Linked DNA regions of Arabidopsis thaliana. The protein of the gene in region 1 purifies or fractionates together with the protein of each later gene. This does not show direct contact. Each region holds a gene or a part of one and is shown in the gene's direction. Other genes may lie near its edges.

Region 1 (5,018 bases):
TGAAGCCCATTACTGTCACACAATTTCTCATCCAAACCCACCTCCTTGGAGTCCTCCAAATTGTGCAATATAGTGGTGCCATTGCATGCCTTATCCAGAATACTCTCGTTCTGGCTACCTACTTTCTTAAAACTACTTAGAGAAACAACTTTCCTGCTCTTCTTGTCCTGCTTCAACTGATCACCATCAATCCCAGACCTATGTTTTCTTTTAAAGCTCTTATTCACTGAATCCTTGGAAATGCTAGACTTATAGAGCGTCTTAAGATCTAAAGACCTGGATTTCTTCGAAATTCCCACTCCATTAGAGTTACCTAGTCTATTTTCCATGAAAGCCACCTCGAACCAATACCCAGAATCAAAAGCCAGCAGGTCTCAAATTCCATCATATACGCAAGCAAACATTTTTCAGATCTGTGACACCAAAACCAAACCCAGAATCACAAAAAGTACCCAAAGTATGATAAAAGAAGAACACACAAGTCACCCAAAGAAACAGATCAAATCCCACTTCAGGAAAAAACTTTGCATTGAAATCCAAGCAATTGTTTTTTCAACAATCAAGCAAAATTTAACTGCAAAAAATTAAAAAAAAAAAGAGAGAAATTTGCATGCCTACCTGCATCACTTTATCAGACGAAATCGAGTCTCTTAAGGACCTTTATAGTCGCCACAATCCCAAAATCAAAATTAGGGTTTCGGTAAATCGGACTGCGAATCGGATCCCTAAATCAAACAATCGAAAATTTCCCAAAAGTATTCGTTCAATTTAGCCGAAAATAAAAAAAGCAAAATTTGCTTCTTTTTTTTTTCTTTTTTAACCGGGAGAAACGGGAGAGCTAGGGTTTCGTCTGGTTCCGCGAGAGTAAGGTTTTTTCAGTTATAAAGAAAACATATTCCAAATAAACATCGTATCACGGGTACCGTCCGATGGAGACGCGTTACTATATCTACGGTCCATATTTAGTTTCGAAATAAGCACTAAATTTTTAACTCTGCAACAGAAAAGATATAATGGACGTTCGAGATTCTCAGCTGCGAAATATTTGTTTGGACGGTCAGGATTTAAAGATTTCTTCAGAGAGAATAATTTATTGTTGTCACGTGTGTTGCTAACCTACCGCAATCTTGTGTTTGTCCACCTAGCCAACAATTGTTAGAGACATCATTCAACTTAACAACTATTATTACTAGAATACTAGGGGATAATTTAAGTATAAAATCATCACATTACAGTATTATCTTTTTAATAATTTATATATATATATATATATTATTGTTATTTTCTTTTAATATATAAACTTCATTCATCCATTAGCTTAACAATTTTCCAATATTTTGTAAAAATATATATATACATATTATTAGGAGTTTTCGGACCATATTTAAGTATTAGTGTATTACTACCTTATTATGTGTTTAAATATATATTTTTATTAAATATAGACATATAGCAAAAAGAATTAGTAGTAGAGAGATTGATTGGAATCAATTTTTGATTAATTATATAGTGTAAACTAAGCTTTAAGAATATTTAAAAAATAGATTTGGTTTCCTTATAAATATGAATTAAGGTCATTATTAACGTATCATAAGATTTAGAGCAATGTATAAACACAAGAAGAAAAACAATAAAAGTTCAGAAATTCCTTTTTCGATTCAAAAATACGTTAAAAATTGACAAAATATTTTGGCGGGTGGATTGTATATTGGAACCCAAAATTTGCTTTTTTAATACAGAAAAATAAAATAAAATTGGCTTAATTGGAAAAACTAATATTGAGTTCATAAACCAAATTAAGGTTTAATTAGACAGTCTAATCCAATGTTCGGTTCAATTTTGTAATCAAATGTTCGGTTCAATTTTGTAATCAAATGTTCGGTTTGATGATCCATAAGAGAGGAGATAACATCCCAAATAGAGACAGATCCCCTTCCCTTGTCGTGTAGCCCAGTAGCTCTAATCGCTACGATTGCTACACACCACATCCCTTAAGAAAACCCTAATCATCTCTCTCTCGCATTCTATAGGAATCGCTTCCCGAAGCTTCCAACATTCTCTTGTTTCTCCTTTGTCTCTCAATTTCAGTTTCCTATATTATACGCTTGTATTAATCACCAGTATACATTTTGTCGTTTCTGGGTCTGGAACCCTAGTAGTTATTATAGCATCCATCGCTTTCTTCAATCGCCGTCCATCAGAGTTTCAAGGGATTTGCTTTAAAGATCAATCCTTTCCTAAGAAAATAGCGACAATTCATCAGCTTTTCCTTTCCCATCCTTCATTACCTTAACTTACTCGAGATTCATCTTCCAGCTGAAATTGTGAAACTTCGTTTCTGGGTTTTTATCAGAAAACACTCTGTGACTTATTGTGTGGTGATCGAGGAAAGAAAAAAGATGGTTGGTGGTGGAAACAGGAGAGATGAGGGATCGATGCCGATTCAGAACACCAACTTGTTTGCTGCTTTGGATACTTCGAGGAAGAAGAAGAAGTCTGATAAGGCTGGTAAGAGCAAAGCTTCCTCTAAGAGAGAAGATTCACAGAAGGAGCCTGAGCCACAGGTTTTCTGGGCACCTACGCCTCTCAAAGCAAAGGCTTGGGCTGATATCGATAGCGATGATGAAGATGATGATTATTACGCTACCACTGCTCCACCTCAGTCCCTGTGGAGCACTTCTGAAGCCTCCCATTCAGATGCTAAAGACGTTCCCGCTGAGGTCACAAGTCCAAATCTTTCATATATATGTTGATTTTGGGTTCATCATCATAGCTTTATGCATTTCACATGTTGAAAATTGTAACACTGGTTTAATATGTCTCTTGCAATAAGCCTCTTTAGATTTCAAATGCTTCCACGAATTGAATGAGTTGGCCTTTTTTTCTACTGTTGTTATCTCGCTTAGGCTTAGGCTTGTGTTGTCTGAATTCTGAAAGGGAAATTAATGTTATTGTGAAGTAAGCTGCTTTGTCTCCTGAAGGTTCATATATCTAATTGCATTGTTATCGAAATTTTTCTAGGCAATGTAAGTTTGTTGTGCAATGGTTTCTCTAAACCGTGGTTGTGTGCCTATCTGTTCATTTGTTTCTCATAGAGATGCATTTGATTTCAATGTCGCAGGAAATTGAAAGCGAAGAAGACACTCTTGATGATGGAGATGATGATGATGTGGAGGAAGATCACGAGCAGGGAACAGAGACACAAGTTCATCCAGAAGCAGAGCCTGAGGTGAAAAAGGCTCCTGAAGTTCGTGCTCCTCCTAAGGAGGCAGAGAGGCAACTTTCCAAGAAAGAGAGGAAAAAGAAGGAACTTGCTGAGCTTGAGGCTTTGCTAGCAGATTTTGGAGTTGCAACCAAAGATGAGAATGGTCAACAAGACTCTCAAGGTATAGCACAATTTCACTTTACTATATTCACTCGTTGGTAACAATTCTACTCTACTCTATTCACTCGTTGGTGATATTTATCTGTGGATACCTTTCTACGCTGAGGTATCACTGGCTGAGAAAACCATGTTATGGCTAATACTGATAGACGTTTCTTCTGCAAATATGAACAGATAAGGGGGAGAAGAAAGAAGTGAATGATGAGGGAGAGAAGAAGGAGAACACAACCGGAGAATCAAAGGCCTCAAAGAAGAAGAAAAAGAAGGACAAACAGAAGGAGCTAAAAGAATCCCAGAGTGAAGTGAAGAGCAACTCGGATGCTGCAAGTGAGTCCGCTGAGCAGGAGGAGTCTTCTTCTTCCATCGACGTCAAAGAACGGCTAAAGAAGATTGCATCAATGAAGAAGAAGAAATCAAGCAAGGAGGTTGATGGTGCTTCAACAGCTGCTGCAAAGGAAGCAGCTGCGAGGAAGGCAAAGTTGGCCGCAGCGAAGAAAAAAGAAAAGAAAAACTACAATCAGCAACCTGTGAGGTGAAGAAATCAATCCACCCACCGTTGTGATATGAACATAGGTTTTGTTCATATGAGACTTACTTGCCTTGAACAAATCTTTTGATGGGGAATGTGGTTGGGTCGTGTTTTAGAGTTATGATAACTTTGGATCTTTTAATCCTATCACAATGGAACATGACAAGAAGAAACTCTGTTTGAATTTTTCCTTTTACATACATTCTTTGCTCATCATGGTTATACTTGGATTTGTTTTATCTCCCACAACAATTTCTACTTCTTGATCTTACATATTATTAGTTGTGGCTAAGCCAGCGCTTAATAAAGTTAATCTATGAGTCTGAATCGACAAAATCAATTGATTATTTTAATTATATGTTTATCAAACGAATTAGATCATATTTTTGACAAACCTAAATAGGTATATTTCTCTTGCGGTTTATTCGACGAAAAAGAAAAGTTGGTACAGTATTTATTTTACTCTCTTAAGACAATTCGTCGTGTTGCTTGCTACTCTCGACGACGGAGAAGTAGAAATGTGGAGAAGAGTGATCGGAAATGTCGCCGTCCGGCATCAATTACAGCGAGCGCTATCTAGTAAAGCCGGTGGAAGTGGAAAGAGCGCCAACGTTTCAGCTGCAGTGGATTCGATGCTTCTGCGTTCCCTCAAGGAACATTACTTAGAGGTTTCTAAGATGACTCCTCCTCCGGTTCGTTCCTCCTCTTCTCTCTCTCTTTCTGTGTTTTCTCTCTATGTCTCGTCTTAGGTACAACTGAAATTTCAGTACTGTTACTTAAACCCTAGCTTAGCTGCTGCTTCCTCCACTTAGGGTTTATGGTGGGATTTACAGATTTTTGATTGATTTTGCAGAAAGTGAGTCCTCCGTCACCATTTGAGATTGTGAAAGGGTCGCTTGAAGGAAGTACTGGTGCTGTTCTGAAGAAATCTGTTGGAAATGAAGAGATCAATCTTTTCGTTATGCGCTTGGCTCACGGAGGTGATGAAGAAGACGATGGTGGGATCAACCAGTTGTTCCTTCATGTTGCTGTATCAAAGCCAAATCAGCCTGATTCTTTGCATTTCCTTTGTGGCCTTTACCCTGATGCATTGGGTATTCATTC
Region 2 (4,692 bases), on another chromosome or scaffold:
AAATTTTAATGTTTTTTCTTTAAGATTAGTGAAAGTTTCACATATGTATCTTTCTCGTCCAATTGAATATGTTATTTTCCAAATATAAAGTTTGATAAGCGAGAATTATATCAAGACGATAATAGAAGTTACCTTAATTCAAATTGTGGAAAAATCATATACATATGAGTAATTGGAAAAGTGGAAGATGAGCCGATTTATATAAATTTTGAATTTTGTTAATTGTGAATGTAATAATAACTAGCGAAAACATTAAGAATTTTTATGCAACCGTCAATGATTTCATGGGATCTTTATCAAAAGATCAAATTGAGAAATATTCAATGACATCTGATGCATATCACAATCTTTGAATGCAATATAGTTCAATGCGCTTATCGTCTTGCTTGCATTATTACAGAACTTATTGATGGTATTGGGATTTTGTATCCAGTTTGGGCAAATAAAGCCATCAGATCACTATCTTGCGTGTCTGTGTGACATGTAATGAGTTTAGCTTGGAGACTTCAAGCCCATTTTCTAGAGTCAAATTTAACGTTGCATTTGATTTAGAAAAAAAATCAAAAGAATTCTTGAAGATCTTGAAGTGTACCTCATACAAAGATTAAGGATTCTAGAGGAGGTGTTTGACATTTGAATCTATCAACATTACTACTCTCTCCGTGTCTCTTCAATTCAATTTAGAAAACAAAAATATATTCATTGCTTTAAGTACTTTGTTCAGTAAAACATAGTTCTTATTCTCTTTTATCAGTCTCACTCTCACCAAATTACCTACAAGTTAAGATTTTCTATCCACATAAAATATCAAAATTGAGGACTGAATCATGATTTTATAGATAACACTACTTCAAAATCTTACTATATTGGAATTAGATATGATTCATAAATTCATGAAATCCATGAAACTACAATTTTATTCCTAGTGTATAGTTCGATCTATCAAATTGTATATGGGTTATCGATATATTTGGATGATTGACACGAAAGAACCAAGTATTTTGAATAAACTTTTTTCCAAAATATTAATAATGCATAGTACTTATTAAAAAATCAAAAAGACCTTGAAAAAGAGAAGAGATTGAACTTATTTATCAAACACCAGATCACCAAAAATTTGGTGCGAAAAAGGTATCTAGTAACTAGTAAGACTATTTAAAAGCTCTCATTAATCAAAACCAGACTATTATTACTCTTTTAAAAAAAAGACTAGACCTCGAGTGAAGAAATAAAATTAACAGTCAAACTTATTTCTCAGATACCAGAATACCAAAAATTGGCGCGAAAGACAAAACGAAACCAAAAAATGTAGAACAAAGTCAAACTTATTTCTTAAATATCAGATTACCGAAATTTAAAGCGAAAAACTGAATATTTGATAAACACTTACCGAAACCTCTCACTAATCTAAAATAAAGTATGTATCCCTTACCATGTTCAAAAAGAGCGCGAATGAAAATATAGAAAACGGTCAAATTTATTTCTGAGTTACCAGATTACCGAACATTTACCGCGAAAAACAGAAAAACGGTCAAATTTATTTCGCAGATACCAGATTACCGAACATTTGTTTCGAAAAAACAGAGTATCTAATAAAACTTTCTGCAATCTTACAACCATTACAATTTAATGTATCATTAACACAAAACTCTTAATTTCAAGCTTGATAAACATCTATTACCCGAAAAATAAGCCAATCCAATTAAAAACATATCCATAGATACAACAACAGAAATCAGGAGATACGCGTCAAGATCTAAGAGGATGAAAGATAAAACTTATCGTGCTCTCCTCCTCATCAGATTCATTTTGCGGACTCCTCCTCATCTTATTAAATCCGCTTAATTGTTTTTGGGTCCGCCCTTTTTCTCTTTCACATCTTTCTTTCTCTCGCAAACCCAAATTCTCTCAGCGCCGGTCAAATACTTGTCTCTCTCTCTCTCTCTCTTTCACTCTTGTCTTGTCTCCTTCGAAGCTGTTTGTTCTGTAAGAAAGATGGAAGCAGGTGGCGCGTACAATCCACGCACTGTTGAAGAGGTGTTTAGGGATTTTAAGGGTCGTAGAGCTGGCATGATTAAGGCTTTAACCACTGGTAACAATTTGTTTTTTCTTTCTTCTTATTACTATCTCAGTTTTGTCACCGGAAAAAAACTGAATTTTGAGATTACCCTTTTGTGTGTGCAGATGTTCAGGAGTTTTTCCGACTTTGTGATCCCGGTGAGTGTTGTTGTTCCTTTGAGATTTGATTTGAATTAACGAAAGTTTTGATTTTTATTTGTGTTTTTTGAATTTTTCTATGTTTTGCTCTGTTTTAATCTGAGTGTTGTTGTTTCAGTGAAGCATTTAGGGTTCATAGTCTCTCTCTCTCTCTCTTTTCTGTTTATGATTTTGTTTAGATTTATTTGAATTGCGCTCCAGTGTCGAAAGTATTGATTTTTGTTTGACTTGGTTCGATTGTGTTTTCAACTAAAGAAAAAATTTGTTTGTGATCCTTGTGAGTGTTGTTGTTCCTTCGAGATTGATTCTCGCCGGCGAAAGTTTGGTTTTTTGAATTTGCTTCGTTGTGGTTTGTTTCAATCTGATTGTTGTTGTTTCAGTGAAGCATTTAGGGTTCATAGATTCTATTGTCTCTGTTTTGTGGATAAAATTGTGATTTTGTCAGATTTATTTGAATTGCAGTGTAGAGTTTGAGCGGAGTCAAAGTGTTGATTTTTTGTTTGACTTGGTTTTAATTTAAGGTTTTTTGAACAATTGTCATCATTTTCCTTTTGTGATTATAGAAAAGGAGAACCTTTGCCTTTACGGACATCCAAATGAGCACTGGGAAGTGAATTTGCCAGCTGAAGAGGTTCCTCCTGAGCTCCCAGAGCCTGTCTTGGGTATCAATTTTGCCAGAGACGGGATGGCGGAAAAGGATTGGTTGTCCCTTGTTGCTGTCCACAGTGATGCTTGGCTTCTTGCTGTTGCTTTCTTTTTTGGAGCCAGGTTTGGATTTGACAAAGCTGATAGGTATGTATATCCTTCTCCTCTTTAAGTCTAATCTTCTTACATCTATGTTCCTTGGTGGTATATAGATGCAAGCCTCTCAGTCACTCATTGTTCTACTCCTTCACCGTTTATGTAGCTCTCTGTGATTTATGTTCTTTCACATTTGTTACAGGAAGAGGCTTTTCAATATGGTGAATGACCTCCCAACAATCTTTGAGGTTGTAGCTGGCACTGCTAAGAAACAAGGAAAAGATAAGTCCTCTGTTTCCAACAACAGCAGCAACAGATCCAAATCAAGCTCCAAGGTAGAGACTTTGTTTTCCACTGTACTTCTTCTCTACAGTTTAATCCTTGTACTAATTCTGGTTTCTTTGTCTCACGTTACAGCGAGGATCTGAATCCCGTGCCAAGTTCTCAAAGCCGGAGCCGAAAGATGATGAGGAGGAGGAAGAGGAAGGTGTGGAAGAGGAGGATGAGGATGAGCAAGGTGAAACACAGTGTGGAGCATGTGGTGAGAGCTATGCAGCTGATGAGTTCTGGATTTGCTGTGACCTCTGTGAGATGTGGTTTCATGGAAAGTGTGTTAAGATAACACCAGCAAGAGCTGAGCACATCAAGCAATACAAGTGCCCTTCTTGCAGCAACAAAAGGGCTCGTTCCTAAATTTGTTGACCGCTCGCTTCTGTGTATCTACCTTTGCATATGATGATGAACAGCTTAACTGTTTGGTTTAGATCAGATTTGTCATATGGATTTGGTAATTTAGGAAGACATTTTAGTTTTTTCATTGTTACATTTTGGCGATTGAAGGGATAACTCTTTGTTTAGGGGTAATGATCTTTTGCTCTGTTTTATGTTTGTTTATTAACATTCTTCAAACTCAATCAAAAGTATTTTGGTTAGTCTTAACACAACAAGGTTTTATCAATATATCATTTCTGCTTCTTTGTTGCTAGGCGCTTCAAGAACTCGTAGGTTGTGATCATCGTTGTTGCGGACATCGACATTGAGACCCATCTTGGTCCTAATCCTCTGTAACAAGCACCAACTCCTCCTTCCTTCATCAAGCTCTTCACTGACTGCATCACTGTCATTGCTCGTCTCCTCCCGTTCTCTTCTGCGTCTAAGACTTGCAACCGCGTCTTGATTGTGTCTACTGGCATAGTTACTAAAGCCGAGCAACCGCTTGCTGTAGCTGCACTCAACGCTTGAACCACCACTGAGCCACCAGCATCTTCCTTGTGGTTGTAGGAGTGCTTGTATCGAGACCAAATTGATTTTTGAGCCAAAGAATAAGACGCCCACCAAACCGCGTTGGAAGGTGCGTAAGTCAAGATCGAGATCCCAAATCCTCTGTAGAACCCTCTTGGTCCATCTGTGTAAAGAATCTTTCTAAAAGCATCAAACCCATTTCTGTATCTGCAAGAGTTCATCACTCCAGGAAGATGCTTACTCAAGGAGACATCGCCTTGAACCATAAGCCCTTGACTCACAATATCAATCGGAGTCCAGACAGTCTGGGCAGCCACAGCCGAGGTCAAACCAGCTGCACCATTAGCAACAGCCAAAGACGTAGTATCAGACAATCCTAACCTAACAGTTGCTTGACCTACACTACTCTTTGTAATCTCTAGAGCAGTCATATAGAGAGCACGAGCCGGGATGGTTCCAAGCAAAGATGTTCCAAAACCCTTGTAAAACCCT

What was found.
Region 2: the proteins of AT4G32610 (region 1) and AL4 fractionate together in Arabidopsis thaliana (co-fractionation; one large-scale study listed by BioGRID). This does not show direct contact.

Annotation. Positions count from the first base shown.
Region 1 is NC_003075.7:15,727,279-15,732,296, reverse strand, and holds AT4G32610 (copper ion binding protein), read left to right. Parts: upstream 1-1,863; 5' UTR 1,864-2,399; coding exon 2,400-2,720; intron 2,721-3,121; coding exon 3,122-3,386; intron 3,387-3,559; coding exon 3,560-3,921; 3' UTR 3,922-4,213; downstream 4,214-5,018. Other genes in the region: AT4G32620 (Enhancer of polycomb-like transcription factor protein), read right to left, coding at 1-329; AT4G32605 (Mitochondrial glycoprotein family protein), read left to right, coding at 4,433-4,606, 4,768-5,018.
Region 2 is NC_003076.8:9,157,525-9,162,216, reverse strand, and holds AL4 (alfin-like 4), read left to right. Parts: upstream 1-1,723; 5' UTR 1,724-1,995; coding exon 1,996-2,092; intron 2,093-2,184; coding exon 2,185-2,217; intron 2,218-2,780; coding exon 2,781-3,009; intron 3,010-3,160; coding exon 3,161-3,293; intron 3,294-3,375; coding exon 3,376-3,651; 3' UTR 3,652-3,899; downstream 3,900-4,692. Other genes in the region: AT5G26200 (Mitochondrial substrate carrier family protein), read right to left, coding at 3,921-4,692. UniProt on the Arabidopsis thaliana protein: Histone-binding component that specifically recognizes H3 tails trimethylated on 'Lys-4' (H3K4me3), which mark transcription start sites of virtually all active genes.